Linked DNA regions of Astyanax mexicanus. The protein of the gene in region 2 interacts with the protein of the main gene of each other region in a biochemical or structural test. Links are inferred from orthologs where the notes say so. Each region holds a gene or a part of one and is shown on either strand. Other genes may lie near its edges.

What was found. The genes of interacting proteins can lie anywhere in the genome.
Region 1: the proteins of nolc1 (region 2) and kbtbd8 form a complex in vitro, tested with the Homo sapiens proteins (2 studies listed by BioGRID). The link is inferred for Astyanax mexicanus from reciprocal best matches to the Homo sapiens genes NOLC1 and KBTBD8.

What each region holds. Positions count from the first base shown.
Region 1 is NC_064431.1:27,105,620-27,116,621, reverse strand, and holds the start of kbtbd8 (kelch repeat and BTB domain-containing protein 8), read right to left. Parts: upstream 4,732-11,002; 5' UTR 4,684-4,731; coding exon 4,668-4,683; intron 851-4,667; coding exon 643-850; intron 1-642. UniProt on the Homo sapiens protein: Substrate-specific adapter of a BCR (BTB-CUL3-RBX1) E3 ubiquitin ligase complex that acts as a regulator of neural crest specification.
Region 2 is NC_064414.1:4,017,214-4,028,565, forward strand, and holds the start of nolc1 (nucleolar and coiled-body phosphoprotein 1), read right to left. Parts: upstream 4,100-11,352; 5' UTR 4,053-4,099; coding exon 3,942-4,052; intron 2,393-3,941; coding exon 2,337-2,392; intron 2,223-2,336; coding exon 2,071-2,222; intron 1,337-2,070; coding exon 1,221-1,336; intron 1,128-1,220; coding exon 998-1,127; intron 1-997. UniProt on the Homo sapiens protein: Nucleolar protein that acts as a regulator of RNA polymerase I by connecting RNA polymerase I with enzymes responsible for ribosomal processing and modification.

The DNA.
Region 1 (11,002 bases), on a different chromosome or scaffold from region 2:
ATTGGTATGAAACAGGGCTGTAGCCATATTTTCCTTCTAATTTAGCAGGCCTGTAAACCTGTAAAACTAAGCTAAGTAAGTTAAACAAACTAAGTTAAGTAAACAAAGCTGTAATTCTTAAGAGTCAAACAAGTCAAATGAGTGCTAAAAGTTAATCCACACAGATTTCTTTCCTGAAAACTGTTTATTTTGGTTAGTAAAGCACTTCTGTTTATGTACAGTAAGCTTAGATTTCCAGATTTCCACTAAAGCTAGAGCATTAGCGGCTTACCGCAGGCACCGTTAGCGGGTAAAGCTAATTCTGCTCCAGAAGTGCTAGCCAGGGTCAGCAGCAGGCTACAGGCCGAGAATACTCAACTCTGAACGGCTAATGCTAATACTGCTCGAGACATTTCAGCGGAGTGGCTGTAGCGCTCCTCACAACCTGAGACTGGTAAAAATCATACATAAGGCACACCAGATTATAAGATGCACTGACATTTTTGGGAAAATTAAAAGTTTTAAGTGTGCCTTATAGTGAAAAAATTCAGTAACGAATCTAAGGTGCCCAAACACTTGCACAGGCAACATGAATAATAATATTTTTAAAAAGTATGTTTGATTATGTACAGTGGCTGTGCTTTCTCTTACTGTACATTCTACCTGAAATAAGGGCTGATGGCAGCAAGCACATTTCTGTGACAGGAGAAGGTCTTGCCATGATCCACCTCCACGACGATGTCTGTCAGCTGCGCTTCGTCGTACAGGGCTTTGAGCTGCTGGAGGATGGTGCAGGCATGCAGGGCGTCTACTCCGTTGTAGCTTGTGCTTGCAGGAGTCCCGTTCTGTACTTGTAACAGCTTTCCAACATCTGCGATGGGAACAGGGAATAGAAAAGTGTGTTTTAGAAATTTTAGACCTGCAAGACAAGCCCCAGAACTGACCAAAAATACAAGAAATTTAGGTCAAAATTAGACAATCATGTTTCAAAAAAGGGATTACAAAATCTCCAACCATATATATGTATATATATATATATATAGTATATGAACACCATTGCCTTCTACAACCTATTGCACAGCAGAATATGGCCTTGCCTCAAGGCCCAGCTGTGGCAGATCAGCAGAACTGAGTTCTGATCCAAGCCTGTGATCAACAGTCCATGCTTCTCTATTTTAATCATCATATAAGACCACCCATGTCAATTCAACATGCTCAAATAGGCCAAACATGACTGACAAACAGACTACACACAGGAACCACTAGCCTGGGTTATCAAGACCATCAGCTATTTGCCATCAGCTTGGTTGTTTCAAGCCTTTCCATTACTTGGCTGCACACCTGTAGAACAAAGTGATGGACATTAACCAAGAAAAAAAATGCAATTTGTTGTACTCATTTGTTAGGAACTTTTGCTTTAACTGTATACTACCGAAGCATTTCAAATTTGGGTCACTTTCTAAATCTAAATCTAAAGTAAAATGTACAATTATTTCCCTCAGTGTTCATGGCCGTTTGAACAGTGTCAGACTAATTCATGACATTCCGTTAAATGAGTGGTGTAGCAAGTAAATCCCAGATAATTCTGTGTTTGAGATATATTGTGAATTGTGGATATTTCTGAGAGGTTTAGTGGCAAAAATAGACCACTGAACACTGAGTCAGTAGTGTTCTTATTGCTCAGCTGTTTATCTCGTTAAAACCAAGCAGCTGGTAGCCGCTTTCATAGCAAGTGAGTCAATTAAAACGTCAGAAATGGACAACATTAAGCCAAACTCAAAACGGATTTAGACAAATTCAATGAGCAGCTCATTCATGTTTTTTTTCTTATTGTGGGCACAAGACAACATTTAGTTAAAGCGTTGGAAGAGTCCTTTAAAAGCATGAGATACAGTAGGTTTATCTCAATGACTAAGCAGACCTACATTCTGGTCCTAAATAACAAATACACATTCACATTGTCCTTCAATGTGTGTCGCTCAAGGACTAAATAAGTTAAAATGACTAAGAAGGCACTTTACAGGCAAATGAACCAGTCTGACAAAAAGGGAACTATAATTTACAATTATATGTACGGCATTTAGCTGACGCTCTTATCCAGAGCGACTTACAACATTATTTCTATGATAGAAGTGAGCCAATGTAGTATTAGCTACGAGTCTTGCCTAAGGACTCTTTTTGGTGTAGCACAACATACGGGAATTGAACCCCAGACCAGGAATTGAACCCCAGACCGGGAATTAAACCCTAGAATTTGAGATAGTAATTAATTATTTTGAGATACTAAATCATTATTTTAAAATAGTTATACACTATTTTGAGATGTTTGAGTATGTTTGTAAGCTATGAGTCTTGCCTTAAGACTCTTATTGGTGTAGCACAGCATTAGGGGTGGGCGATATGGCTCTAAAATAATATCACGATATTTCAGGGTATTTTTGAGATAACGATTAGGGGTGGGAATCGTTTACTATCTCACGATTCGATTCGATTCCGATTTTGGGGGCCACGATTCGATTCAAAATCGATTTTTGATTCAAAACGATTTGAATTATAAAAAATTCTGCTTCTGGCTTATGAATCTTATTGAAAAAAAACCCTCCATAATATACACTGGTCCTGGAGCAAGTAATGTGTTACAAAAACAATAAAATGTGCAGGAATGTGGGTCCTCAGTGACAGAGAAATCACTGGGATATCACAATGACGTTAATGAACAATAAATAAATAATAAATAACACTGCTTTATTACCAGGCTACTAGCGGTGGTGTGTAGGTGACGCTGCTGGGCTGATGTGATGATAGCAGTGAAGCGCTAAAGTTCAGGAGCAGCTGCTGATTAACTAGTTAACTTTAAGGTCGTTGTATTTCTTCAGAAAGGGGGCAGGAGGTGGAGAAATTAATTCATATTGTCCATTCCTTAATTCCTCTGTGATGAGGAGCTGAAATTAGCTCTGATTAGCTTATTGTTATTTTTCCGTTCCGCCTTAAATGCTGCAGCCCGCTGCCACCTGTAGCGTTATTTAAGGTGGAACTGGAAAGTTAGCTAGTTAGCTAGCTAACAGTTACTGAAACTAACTACTAGCGATCTTTTTTATGCTTGTTATGAAGCATTCTGCCATAAAACATTGAAACTACACGTTAATCTAAGGTAATATAGTGCTTGTTCTGCCATCTTACCGGTGATTCTCAAACACCTACGCTCTGTGTGTGTCTGGAAGATCTCCGTTTGAAGGGACAAGCCCTATCCCCAGGGTTGCCAGGTCCAACAAAAATACCCAGCCCAAAATCAGTCTAAAACCCGCCCCTCAGAATCGATTTTGGGACATTTTAAATCGATTCTGAATCGTAGTAAATGAGAATCAAGATTCTTATGTGAATCGATTTTTTGGCACACCTCTAATAACGATATACTTGGCGATATAGGAAAACAGAAAAATAATTAATTAATTTCAGGAATATAGTATAATAGTATAACAGAATAATCATAATGTGGCAAAATAAATAATATAGCATAAAATAATATAATGCAGCAAATAATATTGCAGAATATTTAGTGCATGCATATAAACTGCAACTAAAACAATTATACAATAAATACACCTAAAGCTTCACAGTAAATAATAGACTACTTTTAAGACAGAACAGCCCTATTATCACAATATGGATCTTTAATATCATGATATTTCTGTGTTACGATATATTGTATACGATATAATATTGCCCACCCCTACACAGCATAGTCACAGAGTCACCCAGACTGGGAATTGAACCACAGTCAGGAATTGAACCCCAGCTTTTAAGATAGTAAGTAATTAATTTGAAATACTCCCTCATTATTTTGAGATAGTAAGTCATTATCTTGACATACCAATTCATTACTTTGAAATAGTAAGTCATTATTTTGAGATACTAAGTTTGTTAGCTGTGAGTCTTTTCCAAGGAATCTTAGTGACACAGAACAGCAGTCACCCAGACCGAGAATTGAACCCCCTGACCAAAAACTGAACACCAGACCGAGCTCCAAACAACAGCTACTCCAAACCCAGCAGTCATTCAACAGTCGAAAACTGCTAAAATAAAAGTTAGCTAAATAGTTAGTAAACTGTGGCAGTGTTCAATGCTTCTGACCAACAGCTCCAAAAAACAACCCTCCAGGGGGTGGCAGCTAAGCTAATTGCTGCATTTAAATGACAACTAAGCTAACTAAGTTACTTGAATAGTTAACGCTAGATACAAAAACCTGTAGGAACTTTAGCATTAGCTAGGCTTGCTAACGAAGACCATTTACTTCAAAACCCACCAAAATACGCTCTTAAAACACGTCAATAAATTAAATAAAATTCGTATTAAATATTAAGAAGCAGGCCCTCCGTCTAAATACTACTTATATCCTAAAATAACGACTTTTTATCGACACCCACATTAATGTTTACACACTTGCTAACCGGCCGCTAAGAGCCCAAGCTAATGCTAACGCTAATGCTAACGCTATCCACCAGTCCGCACTTTCCGGGCTAACACACAAACAATCTCCTCCTTCACCGCCTTAAAAACAACCCCCTCAACCGCAAACAGCCCCGACCGACAGGCGAGGGCCTTCACTAACCCACCGCGCCCGAACAAACCCGCAAACTTTCCTAAATAACTTTAAATGGTGAAGAGAAAAACAATCGCAAAGCTCTAACCTCCACCGGCAGCCATTCTCGCCCCGTCTGTCTCAATGCTGAGAGAAAAAACGTCACCGGTGAATCTGAGCCCCGGAAACAAGCCACAGCCAATCAGCGTCTCCGGAGGCCCCCCAGCAACCAATCGGATTAAGCGGCATTCATAATTTGACGGGGTGCAGCCAAGGCGATGTCACGAGCAGGCTACATACAGCAGCAGGTCCTGCTTAATTAAACCTGCAGCAGTCAGCATATATCAGGTTATTGAAGCTATCTCATTATTTTGAGATAGCAGGTCATTATTTTGAGATTCTAATTCATTCTTTTGAGATAGTAAGTCATTATTTTGAGATTCTAATTCATTTTCTGAGATACTAATTCATTAATTTGAGACTAATTCATTAATTTGAGACTAATTTATTTTCTGAGATACTAATTCATTCATTTGGGACACTAATTCATTATTTTGAGATACTAATTCATTATTTTGAGATAGTAAGTCATTATTTTGAGACATTAATTTATTATTTTGAGATACTAATTCTTTATTTTGAGATAGTAAGTCATTATTTTTAGATACTAATTTATTATTTTGTAATACTGTCATTATTTTGAGATAGTAATCATTATTTTTAAATACTAATTCAGTATTTTGAGATTCTAATTCATTATTTTAAGATACTAATTGATTACTTTGAGATGGTAAGTCATTATTTTGAGATATGTCATTATTTTGTGATAATTAGTCATAATTTTTTGATACTTTTTCATTATTTTAAGATAATAAGTCATTATTTTGAGATACTAATTCATAATTTTAGAAGAGTAAGTCATTATTTTGAGATACTAATTCATTATTTTGAGATAGCACGCCATGATTTTGAAATACTAATTTATTATTTCTAGGATAGTAAGTCATTATTTTGAGATGCTATCTAATTATTTTGAGATTATAAGTCATTAGTTTGAGATAGCAAGTGTGTTTGCTTTAGGAAAAAAGTTTTTTTTTCTTTCAAAATAATGACTTACTATCTCAAAAAAATGAAATAGCAGTTACTTATTCATAAGAGGTTTTGAGAAAAAAAAAACATTTGGGTGTCCTCCATCCAATTAGACAATTAGATTTTATTTTGAGGCAAAATAACAGGGTGTAAGATAGCAAGATAGCATTTCTTAAACAAATTCCCTATTCACTATTGGGCTGTGTTAACTTGTAAAGGAAATAAATGAATGAAGAATTTGTTTAAGTAATGTTGGACTTGTGTATAGTAGTTGTTCCTAACTATACAAAAAAATAATAATAAACACACTCACAAAAAGTATCTAAATGGAAATTTGTGTGACAGCTTTGTTGTTTAATCGTGTAGAAATCTCGTCCCTTTCACAATACACTTTAACAGATGGGCGCTCCCATTTAAAACTGTGGCTCTTGTCCTCGGCTCAGTTTTATCAGCCCTGCGCCGACAGCAAATCCATTCTACCACTGCCTGACACTGTAAAATGACACAAAAGGAGTCCAATAAAACACAGCTGCAATCTACGCAATCGATTTCACCTGCTTTTTTCCCACTCCCTCTCTCGCACAGGCTGTGAAATTGGACCTAGCTGCTCTGAAATGAAAGGAAAAACGGCTTCCCGCGGCCTCCGCTAGGCCATAATACTTTCTTTCTTTCCCCCCCTTATATTTCTTGCCTATAACCTGCACTTTAGATATATAGAAAGCAATTTCCTCATATAGGCGCTTCAGACGTTGTTCCCCCGGATTGTGTTTTGTTAGGACGTGAGTGAAAAGGCTGGCTTTTACCCATTCACACCATCACAAAATGCCAGCCTCTGTTTGGGTTAGCGTAGCACCGGCTGGCAGAAGTGGCCACACGAAAGGAAAATAACTCAAGGCAACAGTTGTTAAAATTCAGGGCCTCATTGTTTCTCCCAGTAAAAGGTTTTTTTGTGTGTAACTCTGTGGTGGGTATAATCTGTCAGGGTCTGTTACAGGGCTGTGTGGGGTACGTATGGAAAACAGCTTCAGACTTTGTGTGTTAATTTCATTTCTAGCACCTAAAAAGAGCCAAAAAAAAATCAGCTGTTTGTGAATTTCAATAGCCCTTTTTAATACTCAATAAGTGTTGATCAGTATGGTGGTGAAAAATCGATATAACATAATTAATTTTTACTCAAGGTGCAGTCTATAAGCCAATTAAGACTTGTTTCATATCTGGAATGTAAACGAAGATGCTACGTAAAACTTTAGACCGCGCTGTCACTTTGATCGGGAAATTACTGGTTTGAATCCCGACCATGCAGCTTGCCATCAGCTGCCAGAGCCCTGAGAGAGCACATTTGGCTTTGCTCTCTCTGGGTGGGTAGATGGCCCCTTTTTTCTTTTATCATTCCAAGGGTGATGTCGATCAGCACAAGACAACTGTGAGCTGATGTATTAGAACCAAGTAGCTGCGTTTTCCTCCGAGCGTTAGCGCTGTGATGCTACTTGGCAATGCTGCATCACAGCAGGAGGAGGCATATGCTAAACTTCACCCTTCTTGTGTGGTGGCATTACTAGTGATAGTGGATATATACAGCTGAGTTGCAGCTGAATGAGATGGACAGTTGCCCTTAGAACAAATGTTTGGAAATCAAAAGTAACTGGACAGTTCATTTGACATTTTATTAATCTTATGAATGAGTGTGGTTCATTTTATTCCAGGCTCTTGCTTCTACACAATTAGATGAGAGGGGAATGGCGAGAAAGAGGGCGAGAGAGCATGCAATTGAATTGTAGACGAAGCCTACAAGCATGGGGATTGGGACGAAACGCAGTGCCTGGCAAGCAAGGGGCAAAAATAGTAGTTTAATGTGTCTTTGTGTGTGTGTTTTTATCTGAGAGGGAGGTAATAGGTAATTATTGTCCTCCGGGGACGTGTGTGTCGGCGCTCAGTCTTTCTCCGCCACCCGTTAGGTGGTAAATAGGCGCGTGGCAGGAGGTGGCAGTAAATACCAACTGGAGTTTAGAGCTTCATGTTTAAAAAGTGCTTCTGGACCTGCCCCTCCCCGTCACAGGCCTAAGCGAGCAGGTGCTTCAGCATCTGTCCCTGAATCCATCACGCTACCTGACGGACTCTCTCTGAAGACCACCTGGAGGAACATTTGGAGAAGGAGCTGTAATAAGACAACGCCTGTTCTTTTAGAATTTCATGGACAGTGTACCACAGTTCTTACAAAACCTTGATGGAAACTCGCATACAGTTCCAGAACCTTTGTGAAAACTTTACAGTTCATAACTATGTTAGCTTCTGGAACTTCAGGTCTACAGTACCAGAATTGTACTTTTTCTTAAAAGGTTCAGAAATCAGTTGCAGAAGTCTAGTCTTCAGGTTTTAGTGGAAACTCTACTTAAGTAGAGTGTTCTGGAAGGTTCCACCAAGCTTCTAGAAGCCTATGAAGAACTAGAGTATTGGAAACCCATCTTTAGGTCTGTTTCCAGTGCGATTGTAGAGGCTTCTAAAGCTCTAGAGTTCTCAAAATGTTGATCTGTTTCAACTCAGTTTCCACCAATGTTTCAGCATATTAAAAGGAACTAAAGTTTCCACTCAGATTTTGAAGCGTATGGAGGTTCTGGAAGGTTCCACCAAGGTTCTGGAAGCCTATGAAGAACTAGAGATCTTGAAACCAATGAAAAACTAGAGTTCTGGAACTGTAGACCTGTGCCCACTTCTGTTCTGGAAGCTTATGAAGAACTAGTTTTGGACTTTTGGAGTTTCCACTGAAGATCCTGAACAAATCTTTCAAGATCAGGTATAATCTGTAAAAGGAAACTCCACCAAGGTTCCCAAACATATAACATATCGAACTATAAGAAGAATTCTGGAGCTCTAAGCCTGGTTCCACAACAGCTGAGGTACTGAAGAGTTCTACAGCTATTCTTTCTAAAGCCCTATCCGGATGGGATTATTTTCTCAGGGGGACGTCTGTGAAAATTATTTCACACTTCCACTCCGTGATAAAACTCTTGCATCCGGACTGCAATTGAAAAAAAAAAAACAGGAGGAATATTGAGTTTCTTGGTCATGACATCTCGTTCAGTAGCTCCTCCATTTCCACTCACTGTTGTGTTTATGTGGATCTCCATGGAAACGCATGCCCGAAGTGTAATTACAGTGTGTGGCAGTGGACAAATAGTTATTTTTTAAACGTGAGGTGTCGGAAATCAGAGCATCCAGATGGGACTAAAATTACCGGAGGATCACAGAGTTTAGCGAAAAACAGTAGATAATTCAGCCTGTAATTTTCTCAAAGGACGTCTGAGAAAATTAAAGACGTACATGGTCGTTCCAGATGGGAATAAAGTCACAGAGGACCCCACATAAAAGAGAAAATTACCCCAGGACCCCCTGAGAAACTAATCCTGTCCAAGATTTGAAAAGATACAGCAGGTAAACACCAAATATAGACAGTTCCTTAGGACCAGGATTGGAAACCATTGGACAAAAAGAAAACGGGTTTCAACCACAGCAACAGAACATACACTTAAATGAGGACCTGATCTGAACATTTGAGTTTCTACCCGTGGTGAATGAGCGGCTACAGGGTCAGCTTCAGCCCAGCAGGCCGCGCTGAGCTTTAAGAAGGTCTGAAAGTGTTTTTTGTTCTTTTCTAACTTCGGGGACACTTCATTAGGTGCGATGACCGCTCCGCTTTCGCCCTTCAGCTTAAAAATGCGAACAAATAAAGGGGCCGGCTCTCCTGCTGAGAGGGCAGCTCATTTGTTCCGCATGTCCGGCTGATGGATTCAGTTTTTACTAAATCTGCTCTATTTAGCCTCTCGATGAGTCTTCAGACCTGCTTCTCTCACTCTTTCTTTTTTCCTCCATCTTTCTCTCTCTCCATCCCCCTCTTTCTGCTTTTATCCCTCGCCTGTTCTTTCCTTACAAGTTTCACCTGTTCTCCTTCTGTCATCCTTTCTTTGTTTCACTCCCTTACATTTTCTGTCCTTCTCTCTCCTCTCATCCTCTCATTTCCCCACTTTCACTTTCTCCCACCATCTCTTTTTCTTTCTATGCTCTTTTTTCTTTCTTTTTTTTGTATTGTCACATTCTATCTTTGTCCTTCAGTCCTGCTCTTCCCTCTCTTTCTATTTTATCTTTTTCTTTTCATCACATGTCTTTTGACTCCTTTATCTCACTCCTTCCTCTTTCTCATAAATTCTCTCTTTCTAATACATTGTTTTTTACACCTCTTTTTCTCATAAATTCTTCTATTCACTCCTTTCTCTCTCTCCTTCTCTTTCTTTCTTATAAATTCTCCTTTTCACTCTTTTCTCTCTCTCCTTCTCTCTTTTTCTGATACATTCTCTTTTTCACTCCTTTTTTCTTTTTCTCTTTCTTTCTAATGCATTCTCTTATTCACTCATTTCTCTCTCTCCTTCTCTCTTTCTTATAAATTCTATTTTTCACACCTTTCTCTCTCGTTTTCTCTCTTTGTAATACAGTCTCTTATTCAATACATTCTCTCTCTCCATCTCTCTTTCTCATAAATACTCTTTTTCACTCCTTTCTTTGTTTTCTTCTCTTCCTTATACATTCCGCTTTCACTCTTTTCTCTCTGTCTTCTCTCTCTTTCTAATACATTCTCTTTTTACTTCCTTCTCTCTCTTTGTAATACATTCTCTTATTTAATACATTCTCTCTCTCCTTCTCTCTTTCTCATACATTCTCTTGTCCACACATTCTATCTCTATTCTCTCTATCTATACTCTCTATCTTCTATCTCACTCTATATATCTTTCTATTTTTCTCTTTCTAATTATTTCTCCCTTTCTAACTATTCCCCCTCTTTTTCACCTTTTCTTTTTCTCTCTCGTTGTCTTTTTATTAAACTCTCTCATCATTTATCTCCCTTTTTTCTCTCTTTCTCTTTCTTTTTCTCAGTCCACCTCCATCTCATTAATAGTTTCTTTTTCTCTGTCGTTCTGTTCCTTTCTTTCGCTTTCTCGTTTTCCCTTATTCTTTTTAATCTTTTTTTTCTCCCTCTGTCTGCACACCCATTCTTTCTCTCTCTCTCTCTCTCTCTTGCTTTCTCTTGCTTTCTCTTACTATCCCACTTTTCTTTTGTTTATCTTTCTCTCACTTTCTTTTTGTATTTCTTTCACATTTTCTCTGTCCTTTTTCACTCTATTTTCTATTTCCATCTTTCTTGCTGTCTTTCTCATCCTTTATCTCGCTTCCTCTCTCTCTTCCTTTTTATTTTCCTCACTTTCTCACCATCTCTCTCTCTCTCTTTTCTATATTTCTCTTTCTTTTCCTGCCTCTTTCTTGCTCAATCATTCTCTTTTTCTGGCTTTATTCCTCCCTTTGGCTCTA
Region 2 (11,352 bases):
AAAAAAAACTTTAAAATCTTTAAAGCTTCAAGAACATTTTAAAACAAATACAAAATAGTCTGCTTTCAAACAGAAAAAAGAACGCCTTATTTATTAATGCTTTAAAATAAATTTTGTGTATCATGTGTACGATAGAGCTTAGATTCTCTGCCCAAAACCCGACCCGACCAGAGACCCAGCCCGGCCCAAGTTCGGGATTTCCCACCACTTTCCACCGGCTCAAAAAAGCAATTTGACACAGGTCTGTTTTTTAATGCTATTTTTATTTTATATTAAGCTATGGCATGATATCCCAATAAAGCAAATTAACAAATCAAACTGTGCACACTGCAGTGCAGTACGTAGCCTTGTTTTTTTATGTTTTTGCACTTAAACTATAAGTTCAATATAAAAAGCTATAGAAATTATTTTCTATTCTTAAACCATGTTAAACTATATTAGACTAGAGGAAAGTCCTTCAGACATCATTCTTGTAGCCTGATTTACTGATGTTTAGGCCTTTGGATCATTGTTCGCTTTGTTTCGGAGATCTGTTCTTAATAAACATTATTCTTAGATATGCGTCTATGCTTCTTCAGTGTTGCAATGTTAATTAACATCATTCCAAACAGATTTCGCTCATTCAAACAGCCCCAAAAAAATGATTTATTTATTTTATTTTTTTTAGCAGTTTTAAACGCTCTATAACGTGGGTTTAAATCAGGCTCACGCTCATAATGACAGTGTATAGGTCGGTTCAGGTTGGGCTCTGGCAGGACATGCACAGGCTCGGGTCGGATCAGGTCAGACTCGGCTGGATATTTTGGGCCCGATCTAAGCTCTAGTGTACGACACACCCGTAATACTAAGCATATAAATTTTATTTTGCTACAATTAGTGCAAGAAAGGATTCCCTTTACTGGTGGAGTTTTGCTGCTTCTCAGCCTGGAACCCACATGTCAGTCAGTCTTACTGATACCCTGCAGTGTTATTCAGCATACTGACAGCATTCACTCACCTGCTGCTTTAGATTTAGGAGGCTCGTCCTCAGAATCGGACTCCTCACTGCTGGAGCTGGTGTCCTTCTTCCTGGCTGCCGCCGCCACAGCAGCAGGAGACGCCACTGCAGCTTTCACTGCTGCCACCTTCTAAAAACACCAAATGATAAAACATATGATACACATAATAAAAAAAGCCACACATACTGTTACACAATAAATTTTCAAAAAAACAGGGCATACCTTTACAGGAGGTTTAGTCTGAGCTTCATCTTCAGAGTCGCTGGAGTCTTCACTGCTGCTCGACTCTGCTGCAGCTGCGGGCTTCTTCGCTGCAGCTGCGGGCTTCTTCGCTGCAGCTGTGCATGCATGCATCAGACAATTGAACAGGAAGGTAAACATATAATGCACATCATATGTAATCAATTAAAAAAAAAAGGAATTTATTGGTCTTCCTAATTTTGTTTCTGATTGGCTGCAGCTTTTTCTGAGCCCATGTCACGCGGGTTTGACAGCACACTAATCAAAAAACATGAATCAAATCAAATGTGTGTGCTGTATGTATGACACCTGACCCTATATTAATTTAAGGAAAAAGTAAGTCTTTTTTATTTTTTCTTTGTATTGGTCAGTTTTAGCACATTTTAACTAATTTTTTCGTTGTATTAATCTTATCTTCTTTTGATCTTAATTTTGTATCACTTAAACCAAGCTTTATAATAAATTATTATTAATTTATTTTTATTCTAACTATTTTTATTTTATTTTTTTATCTATTTTTATATTTTACATTACATTACATTATATTTGGCAGACGCTTTTGTCCAAAGCGACTTACAATAGTCAAGTCCAAAAGTAATAGAAGTTAAAGGTAAAACATCTTTAGATAGGGCTTAAAGGTGGTCGAAGGGAAATAATGGGATAGAGAAGATTTACTGTAATTTTAAATAATTAAATGTAGCTATTATTTTCTTTGTCATGTCAATCCCCATTTCTGTAGATGCTCAGCTACAATGAAAATGAGGGTTGCTCTCAATGTACTTCTGAATCAAAATAAAGATTGATTGATTGATTGATTACAGCAATAGGTTACCTGGAGGAGTTTTCTTTGCAGCTGGGGCTTCCTCCTCATCACTGCTCGACTCTTCACTACTGGAGCTCTCCCTTTTGGTCTTCTTCGCAGACGGCCCGTTGACTGCAGCAGGTCCATTAGTAACGGCCTTACGCTTTTTGGACTCTCCAGATCTAAACGTACACACACAGACGTGTGTTACAATTACGAACCTCCAACATCGCAAAATTAAAAGTGCTTTGCCCACAAAGTAACTTTAACAGGGTTAGTAATAAACATTCACTTACTTGACCCAGAACTGGAAGACGTCAAGGAGTCCTTCTTCATTTTCGTCTTGAGGTTTCTGAATTGAGACAATCTTTATTACTTATGTATAATTACACCAAACTACTACCTTACTAATAGCTCCAAATTCACATGAATTACCTTTTGTACATATTGCCTGTTACAATAATTAACAATAACAATTTCCCAGGAATTACAGTGCTTAACTAGCAGTCATTTTCAACACTGCTGTAAAGATAACATAATAGCATAAAATACACATACCTTTAAAAGAGCAATAAGCTTTTAATAATTAAGAATATCCAGGCAATTCAATTGAAATACCTTTCAAATATTCTAAATAACTAAAATACATTTGTAAACAGTCAACATGCTTGCTCATCCACATTTACTATGTAATTCCATATGTGTCCCTTAATTGATTTCTAGTCTTTAATATTCATCTACAAATGTAGAAAATCATAAATAAATAAAAAACACTGAATGAGAAGGTGTGTCAAAACTATCCACTGGTGCTGTTGTACATCATTTATCAAGTGGTTATTATTACAGTAAGTAATCAGTGGATGTAACGGACTAATGGTATGAAGGTACAGATAGAATGTCAGAAAACTAAGCTAACAATCCCGACAGTAAGTGTGTATGTGCTTACAGAAAAAAAAACATGTATTTAATTTGTTGTAATTATCCTCCTCTTCCTGTATTAAATGTAGTTATGATCCAGAACCTGCTTTCCTCTCAGCTATTAAAATGACTTTTAAATGAACCGGTTCCAGCAGGATCAGTCTGAACAAACAAGTTCTCAATCTACTAGTTAAGATCATGGAAACAGTGGCTAAAAAAAACAGTGGGTGAACTGGTGTGTGTGATGACTGGAGGAGAAAACAGTGGGTGAACTGGTGTGTTTGATGACTGGAGGAGAAACGTGGACTTTACCACGTGCTCACAGATCTCTAGCTAGTTTATCTTCTCTACATAAAACTGTAATTCTTACTTTAATTGCACTAAATTCAGTCTGAATTTACTCTAAATAGTACAGCCTGCTTTTTCATGTTTAAACAAAATAAAGTTTAAAAATAAGTATTTAGATACATAGTTTTAACCCTGTATGGCACAGTGATTCCCTCAGCAAAGAACACTAGTTTTTGGTTAGGTTATTACACCGTACTTTCAGTAGTATGTATTTTAATATCTAGTTATAATATGACGGGATATAAAATAAGTGGTAATAAATAAGTTGAGTATTATTATTACAGTAACGCTGCTCTGCCCGGTTCTTCAGTAACGTTACCGCTGTGAGTCCTGATCAGGATTAGCACAGATATAACGTTACTTATACCGGTTATAATCGGTCACCCTTTGGTTCTGTGTTCGGAGCACCGCGAGCAGTAACCCGGGCAGTAGTTACCGTAGGCAGTAACCAGGGCAGTACCGCGGACAGTAACCTGCGCAGTAAGTAACTTTGGCTTGTAACCCGTGCAATAATCGGCTCGCGCTGCCCCTCGCGCGCCGTACTGAACACGTGTTTACAGCGCGCGCGCAGCCGGACTCCCCGTCTCGCAGAAACGTACCGCGCGCCACAACGGGACCGGTTACCGGGCACTCACCACTTTAGTCTTCTTCATAAACTCCTGGGCCGCCTTGCTGAACTTGTTCTGGAGCAGAAAAGAGTAAACATACGGGAATAGATCACTCGGAACCACGCCGACCTCCGCCATCTTCTCTATACCACACCGACTGCGCGCACAGGAAATGACGAAGAAACACGGCATCCACACGTTTTACGCCTAAACGAAGGCACGTCCGAAACAGACGCCGCCTTTTGAAGCTGGCATGTCAGCCGGCCGCCATATTGGAGGAGTCTCCCATGCGCCCTAGAGCATGTATACCATATAAACATAATACAGGTTATTTCAGCATAAACGTATATAACGTATTCTTAATGTGTAACAGCTTCCTATAGCATAGCTACATCTCTGCTCTGCTGTTTAAAACAAACCAAACCCTGTAAAAATCGGGTACACTTTGATAGAGTTGTGATTATTATAGGTGTTTTAAATACCTTCCTCCGTACTAATAAATGAACTAGGGGCGAGTGGTTGACTCCTCCAATATGGCGGCCGGCTGATACGCCAGGAGGCCGGCTATGCGGCGTTTATGTATGCATGTCTATTTTCAGTATACATGTCTATGACTAGTGCTCTACTCACTGCACAATACACACCTAGTGCCCCACACACTACACACCTAGTGCCCTACACAGTGCACACTACACACCTAGTGCCCTACACAATGAGCACTACATCTCTGGTGCCCGACACGCTGCATACTACACACCTAGTGCCCTACACAGTGCACACTACACACCTAGTGCCCTACACAATGAGCACTACACCTCTGGTGCCCGACACGCTGCACACTACACATCTAGTGCCCTACATGCTGCACACTACACACGGCACACTACACACCTGGTGCCCTAAACGAAAGGTGTCCAAAGTATTCAAAGTAACACAAGTGCACTAGGCTAACGAGCCAAGCTTTTATCATCACAGAGAACCTGCTCCAGCCCTGCCTAGACCAGCTGCTGTGTCTGTTAGCATTACGACTCTAACCCTGTAGGCTGTGGCTCATCTGCACTAAATTATCTGTACGTGGCTGTTCAGTCTGTTAGCATTGGGGCTCCCACCTGGCTAGAGATTTAATGTTAACATTACAGGAAATTGCTTCAATCTCGCCTGGTTTATAGCATCACGGCTAACCTGGTCCACCACTGTCAAACCCAGCTTTTGGCATTGTGGTTAACCTGGTCTAACTCGGCCAGGGCCAGCTGTTAGCATCATGACTAACCTGCTCCAACCTTGCTGAGCCAAGCTGCTGTGTTTGTTAGCAATATAACATGACTGTAATTACCTCAGGAATATTGGACTGTATAACAGATTATGCTTTACAAAGAATGGAAAACAAATGTTTTTAAGAGTAACAAGATCAAGAGGAGAGAGAGAAATTGGAGGGGTAAATGAAGGGAAATGCACTAATGCCCTCTCGCGCTGATATAAAATCTAATACGCTGTTATTCCTGTGCTTGGCTTCAGCTGGGGGTTTGTGTGTACGGCCTGCACACTAATGCACCTTCCTGCAGCTGGGTAAATATTGATGCTGGTTAAGTACCCAGCATGGAGGCACGCAGTGCGGTGGAGCTCACCTGGGGGGGAACACCTGGAACGTGTCCAGTCCCCGTGTGGCACCATCACCACCGAACATGCGCTGATCTACAGCTGAGGTGGAGACCATTAATCTGATGACCACACTCACACTGCCTGGCAGCATAGTGAATGTAGGCAAGCTGAATATAGAAAACTATTATTAATAAACAGAGATAAAAATAGATTTTACATAGACAGACTGAGATCAAGGGTTAAAGTATATGAACTGTGGAATACTGAAAGTGTGGGATCTTTTAATTTTTCTACTGGAATATTGGACATATAAAAGTAAGACTGGGATGTTATTAAAATATTCTTGAAATTCAGACAAAAAGGAAGATTATTTCTTTATTTCATTCTGTTTATACACAGAAATCTATAAATTTTGGATTTTTTTTTTTTTGGGAGAGAGAACAGATTTTGTACATGATTTTGCAGTGTCTACATACTTAACAACACGATTCACGCCCTTAAAAGTTAAGAACATGTGACAGGACAATGTGATTGAGGTAATTACAGTGATTGTTGCACTTGATGAGATAAGGTAATTACAGTGCTAACTGTACTTGTCTGTAGTGGCAGTTTGTGGCTTTACTGTCTTTTGTGAACTCAAATGATGTATATTTGCACACATTAGCTATTTGTGTAGATTCCCTGTAGCCTGGCAAATAATACATGCAATTAGTAAGTTAATTACATATGATTATATATATATATATATATATATATATATATATATATATATATATATATATATATATATATATATATAGACAATGTAGGTGCAGGACAACTCAAATAAACCATGGGAATATTAGTGAAATGTTTTTGGTGCTTAACATATAAAAAAAATCTTCAACAAAAAAGTTTAAAAAGCCTTTTTTTTCAATGAAGAACTATTTCTCAAATAGTTTTAAGTTCATTTACCGGACCACATAGTGTACATTGCTTTTTAAAGAGCCCATTAATCTCGTTTTGTATAAAAACAAAAAAAAATTGCTGTTATGAAAATATCCACACTGCCTTTCTGGAAGCTCCTGATGCCAAAAGTGTTCAAGGTTGAATGGCTCCATGACTTACAGTACAAAGTAGACTGTTCTCCTGCTCGGCCAGTCCCACATGCTGGTGTTTAGAGGACCAATCTGATGCTCACACGCACCGACCCACCTGGGAAGTGAAAAAGCCTGCGTCTGGCACCCCGAGCAGGCAGCGTGCTGTTGCTCTTGGAAAGAGTGGGGCAGGTATAATTTCTCCATGACTATAACACTGTGAGTCTGTGGGTCCCCAAGAGCCATCCAGCTACTTTATCTGCACTGGATCTCTAGGATAGCTTTACCCAGAATAACGCTATTCAGGACAAATGTTGGCAGGGAAAGACTGGCAACAGAATCAATCCAACCCCTGGGAAGCCAGCTGATGCTGTTAACTCACACGCGTCCAGAACAAATGCTCTGGTGTCAACAAGTGCAAACGCCAACGATGCATGATCGCAGCAGTTAGTCAGTCGTTTAGAAGCATCCAAACCATGCAGCTTTTAATTCTATATCACAGGACAGTTAATGCCTTGTTTGTGGACAGATCTGACAAACTTAAACAGGTTTAAATTCATTTTTATACTCTCCTTTATACAAAGTATACAAGTATTCAGCATCACTTATTCATATTCAGTATTAGTTTATATATATATATATATGGATATATATATATATATATATATATATATATATATATATATATATATATATATATATATATATATATATCCATGCAAAAATGGTAACTTTACAAGAGAAGAAAATATCCTTCAATTATTAATCCATTAATTTATACACACGCTGACTTTAGCTTCAAGATTTCTTGTTGGCACAAGTGTCTGTGGTTATCTTGAAAACTTAAATGTTTAAGTTTAAGTTGATCTTAAAACTCAATTGTGGACTAAGTTGCCTTAAAGTTTTGTGTTTTCTTAACTTTTACATTGTTACAGTGTATTTATTTAGTGCACAAATATAAACGTGAATGTTGAGGCCCTACTTTGCTGTGCTATTGTTTATATATTTTTTTTAAATCTAATGAATGAACTATAGACACTAGAGGGAGCCACTTTCACAGCCTGGGGATCACAATGGCTATCAGACACTTCAGAGAACTAGAGAGGCCTGCTCATCACTGGTCCTGGAGATCTACCATCTCACTCACCTGCTCCAGGTAATTCAAGGCCTTCAGAAACATGACCTGTTCTGTTCACTGTCGCTGTGCAAGTCCCTCTGTTGATGACGTATGATGTGACATTTTGATGGTTCCACTAAAACTGTTGTAAATGCAGACTGGTTCGCTAAAAAAAACAAGAACCAAAGTTCTTTTGGTGGAAAAGCGCTTAATTTGGTTTGTATCCAATTTGTGTTATATGTGCTTTCTGGCTGTACAGACTATCAAAACTCAAAAATCTCATTACAATCGTGCTTGAGTTGGCACTCATTTCCATCACCCTGATTTGATGAGGTCATAGCACCAAAGTTGAGCACCAAAGGTCAGCGACCCGCACCGACCTTGATACCACAGCAACCAATGCAGATATGTTTGTGATGTCCAGACACAAAAAAAATCCAATCTGATCACTTGCAACAAAAACGGTGCAGCCAGTTATCTCAACAGATCTGATTAAAGAAAGAAATACAGTTTGCCTTAAATATAAAATCTCCACACAGATATGAAAAATCATATTGTCTATTTCTTGGCCAAATATTACACACCTAGCCTGAGTTGCCCAGCACCGGTTTGAATCTAGGCCTAAGTGCTGCATGTGCCAACACCCTGGTTACAGAGTATAATATAGCAATTGGGTAAAGCTGCATGCACCAACACCATGGTTGCTGAATATGATACGAGAAACCTCTGTATGCTATAAGTATAAGTATAAACCACATTTGGGTAGCACTTTATGATAAGGAACACAAATTAGGCGCTTATTAATGTCTTATTATTTGCTTAATAATGCCTTAATTAGACATTTGTAAATTATTTATTCACTACTTATTAGGCTTTATTCTGTGTAAGTGTTATTGGTGCTTAATTAGGATATTTGATTGATTGATTAATTGATTGATATTTATTCAGTAATTTTTAGTGTCTAATTAGTGATGAACAGAACCTCACTTTAGGATATGGTGCACATCTTGGTCTATTAATGACTTATTAACCCCTTATTAACTCTTAATAAACTCCAGCACAGCCATAACCTTACCAAACTCACATACTGTAGATCAAACTGCTGCCAATTATAAGAACACTAATAACATGTATAATTAGCTAATAGTCAACGCTTAATAATCTTAATAAAACAGGGCGCTAACATAACTGTTTATTGTGCTCTATAAGAACTAATACAGTCATTATTAATCATTTCCACATAATATACCCCTAATTAAGCACCAATTACACTGAATACACAGAATAAAGCCTAAAAAAGTAGTGAATAAATCATTTACAAATGTCTAATTAAGGCTTTATTAAGCAAATAATAAGACATTAATAAGCGCCTAATTTGTGTTCCTTAAAATAAAGTGTTACCCACATTTGGTCCAATTTCACATGACCGTTACCGAGACTCTATGGTCATATGACCGATGCTGCCATACGATCTCCATTAGCTGGAATGAATACCCCTGATCTAGAAGAAAAAATGTGGTTAGTAGTTATTTATCATTTAATTTTCTTTTAATTGCATTTGATCCATTTTTCTACTGTTCTGATGTCGAAAGCTTTACAAAATTACATGTTCCAATGTCCGAGCGCATAACTCTGTGTGTGTCTGACTGTAAGTGAAATAGCAGGACCCCTCTGAGGCCGTAAGCTCAGTCAGATCCATAGAGCTCTTTGAAGTTGTGGCTGCTCCCTCCATCCATCTCCCTCTCCCTCTTTCTTTTATTCGTTTCCAGGCGGCGCTGAGGCCGAGCTCATTAAAAACTCCAGCCCACGCTCCGTGTCATCATGTTACCGCAACCGCACTAATCTACACATGGATGCATGATGGCATCACCTCAGTCTGTCATCGAGGTAACTCTATAGTGACTGACTGTACAACACACACACACATATATACACACAGTCTCCGAGTTCAGACTGTAAATTTGTGGCCTAGTATTTCAGTTTAAAGGTCCCTACTCAGCATATTTCTCCTGCGTTTTGATTCCCCCCCTGAAGTCTACTTCTAACTTTGTGGGGTTTTAAGTTCCAAAAACTCTCATAATTCATTTTTACATGACCATTTCCAAACCTCTCCTTTTCCCTCAGGATAATACACAGATTCTGTTGCTGTGTGGAGATGTGTGGTCAGATGTGTGGATCCTTTAGGAGGTAGCAGTGATGCTGTTTCTTCCCAACAGTCAGGGACGCTACTGTATTCACAATCACTTTAAATCAGATCAGTTTGTATTTGCTATTTATTTGAATGTCAGTGGGGCTGCAGCTATCGATTATTTTAGTAATCGAGTACTCTACTAAAAAAAAAATCAATTTGATTAATCGAGTCATCAGATAAAACATATTTGCTTGCCCAAAAAGCAATCAAAAATACACAAGAAAAAAAAAAGAAATTTCACTTAATAATAAAAGACCAATTCACAACAAACATTTCCAAATTGCAAACACAAATAGATATAAATACAACGCAAAATAGACAAATACCACAAGTAATAAATTAAATAATTTATAATTTCCTTCACCTAAAAACCTCCGCCTCCTGCACCTGCTTCCTGCGCGTAGGTGACGTAACACTAAGCACGCTATTTCACATTAAAAGTCCGTGCTAAATTCCGTGCTCTGCATTTTAAAATTAATTAAACAATTCCTCAAGGCACAGAAAATTAATTGATCAATTTTTTTATCGAGTAACTTGAATTTTACTCGAGTAATCGTTTCACCCTTAAATGTCAGTTAGTAAATTTGATCATGCATATACAGTAGTCTGTTTATTTAGCTGTGCTCACATTACCAGGCTGAAATGGCTGAAATGACTTAACCCTAGAAAGCTAACACTTTGTGATTTTAACCCACATAATTATTTTTTAAGTGATTTTCATTGTGTTGCTGCTGTTGGGTTGAGTTGCATGGGACTTCGTTTAGGTATCTTCAGGGGGATGATCGTTGGTGTCATTAATGTTATGGTTAATTCAAGAGGCATGCGTTCGAGTGGTTTTCATTTGACGTTAGTGATGGAGACTAACATATTTTATGGGTGTTTTTTTATATTTATATTTACCTGATGTATGTTGGTGTTTGTGTGTTTAAATCAGGCGCTCACATGTCTCAGGAATGGGTGGACCAAAGACCAAGTTCCCTTGCAGCATTATTTTATTTTTTTTAATGATTACCTGATTTTCCAAAAAAAAAAATCAGCTTTTTTATAGGATCATCCATGGTATCTTTATTCTGTTTTATGTAATGGTGTATGTTGTAAAATTAAAGAAGGGTTCCAAAACTTACAGTCATATTGTGTATACCCAACGTTAGTGATGGTGTTACTAATTTTAACGTCTTAAAATGGGATTTTTCGTGTCTTAATGTGACAGATCATAAATGTACCACGTAAAAGCACACTGTTAATGGAGCTGAATCAATTAAATGGTAGAAATGTGCATTTTTTTTACAGTGAAAATAAAGGGTTAAACACACTTCCACCATCTCTTTTCTCCCTCACTCATTGTGTCCTGCTTTACTCACTGTCTCAGCTAATGGAGGCCGTGACTCTGTACATTAACTCACATCACACCGGGTCAGAAAAGGGAATCTGGTGCTGCTATTGATCGCAGGATCT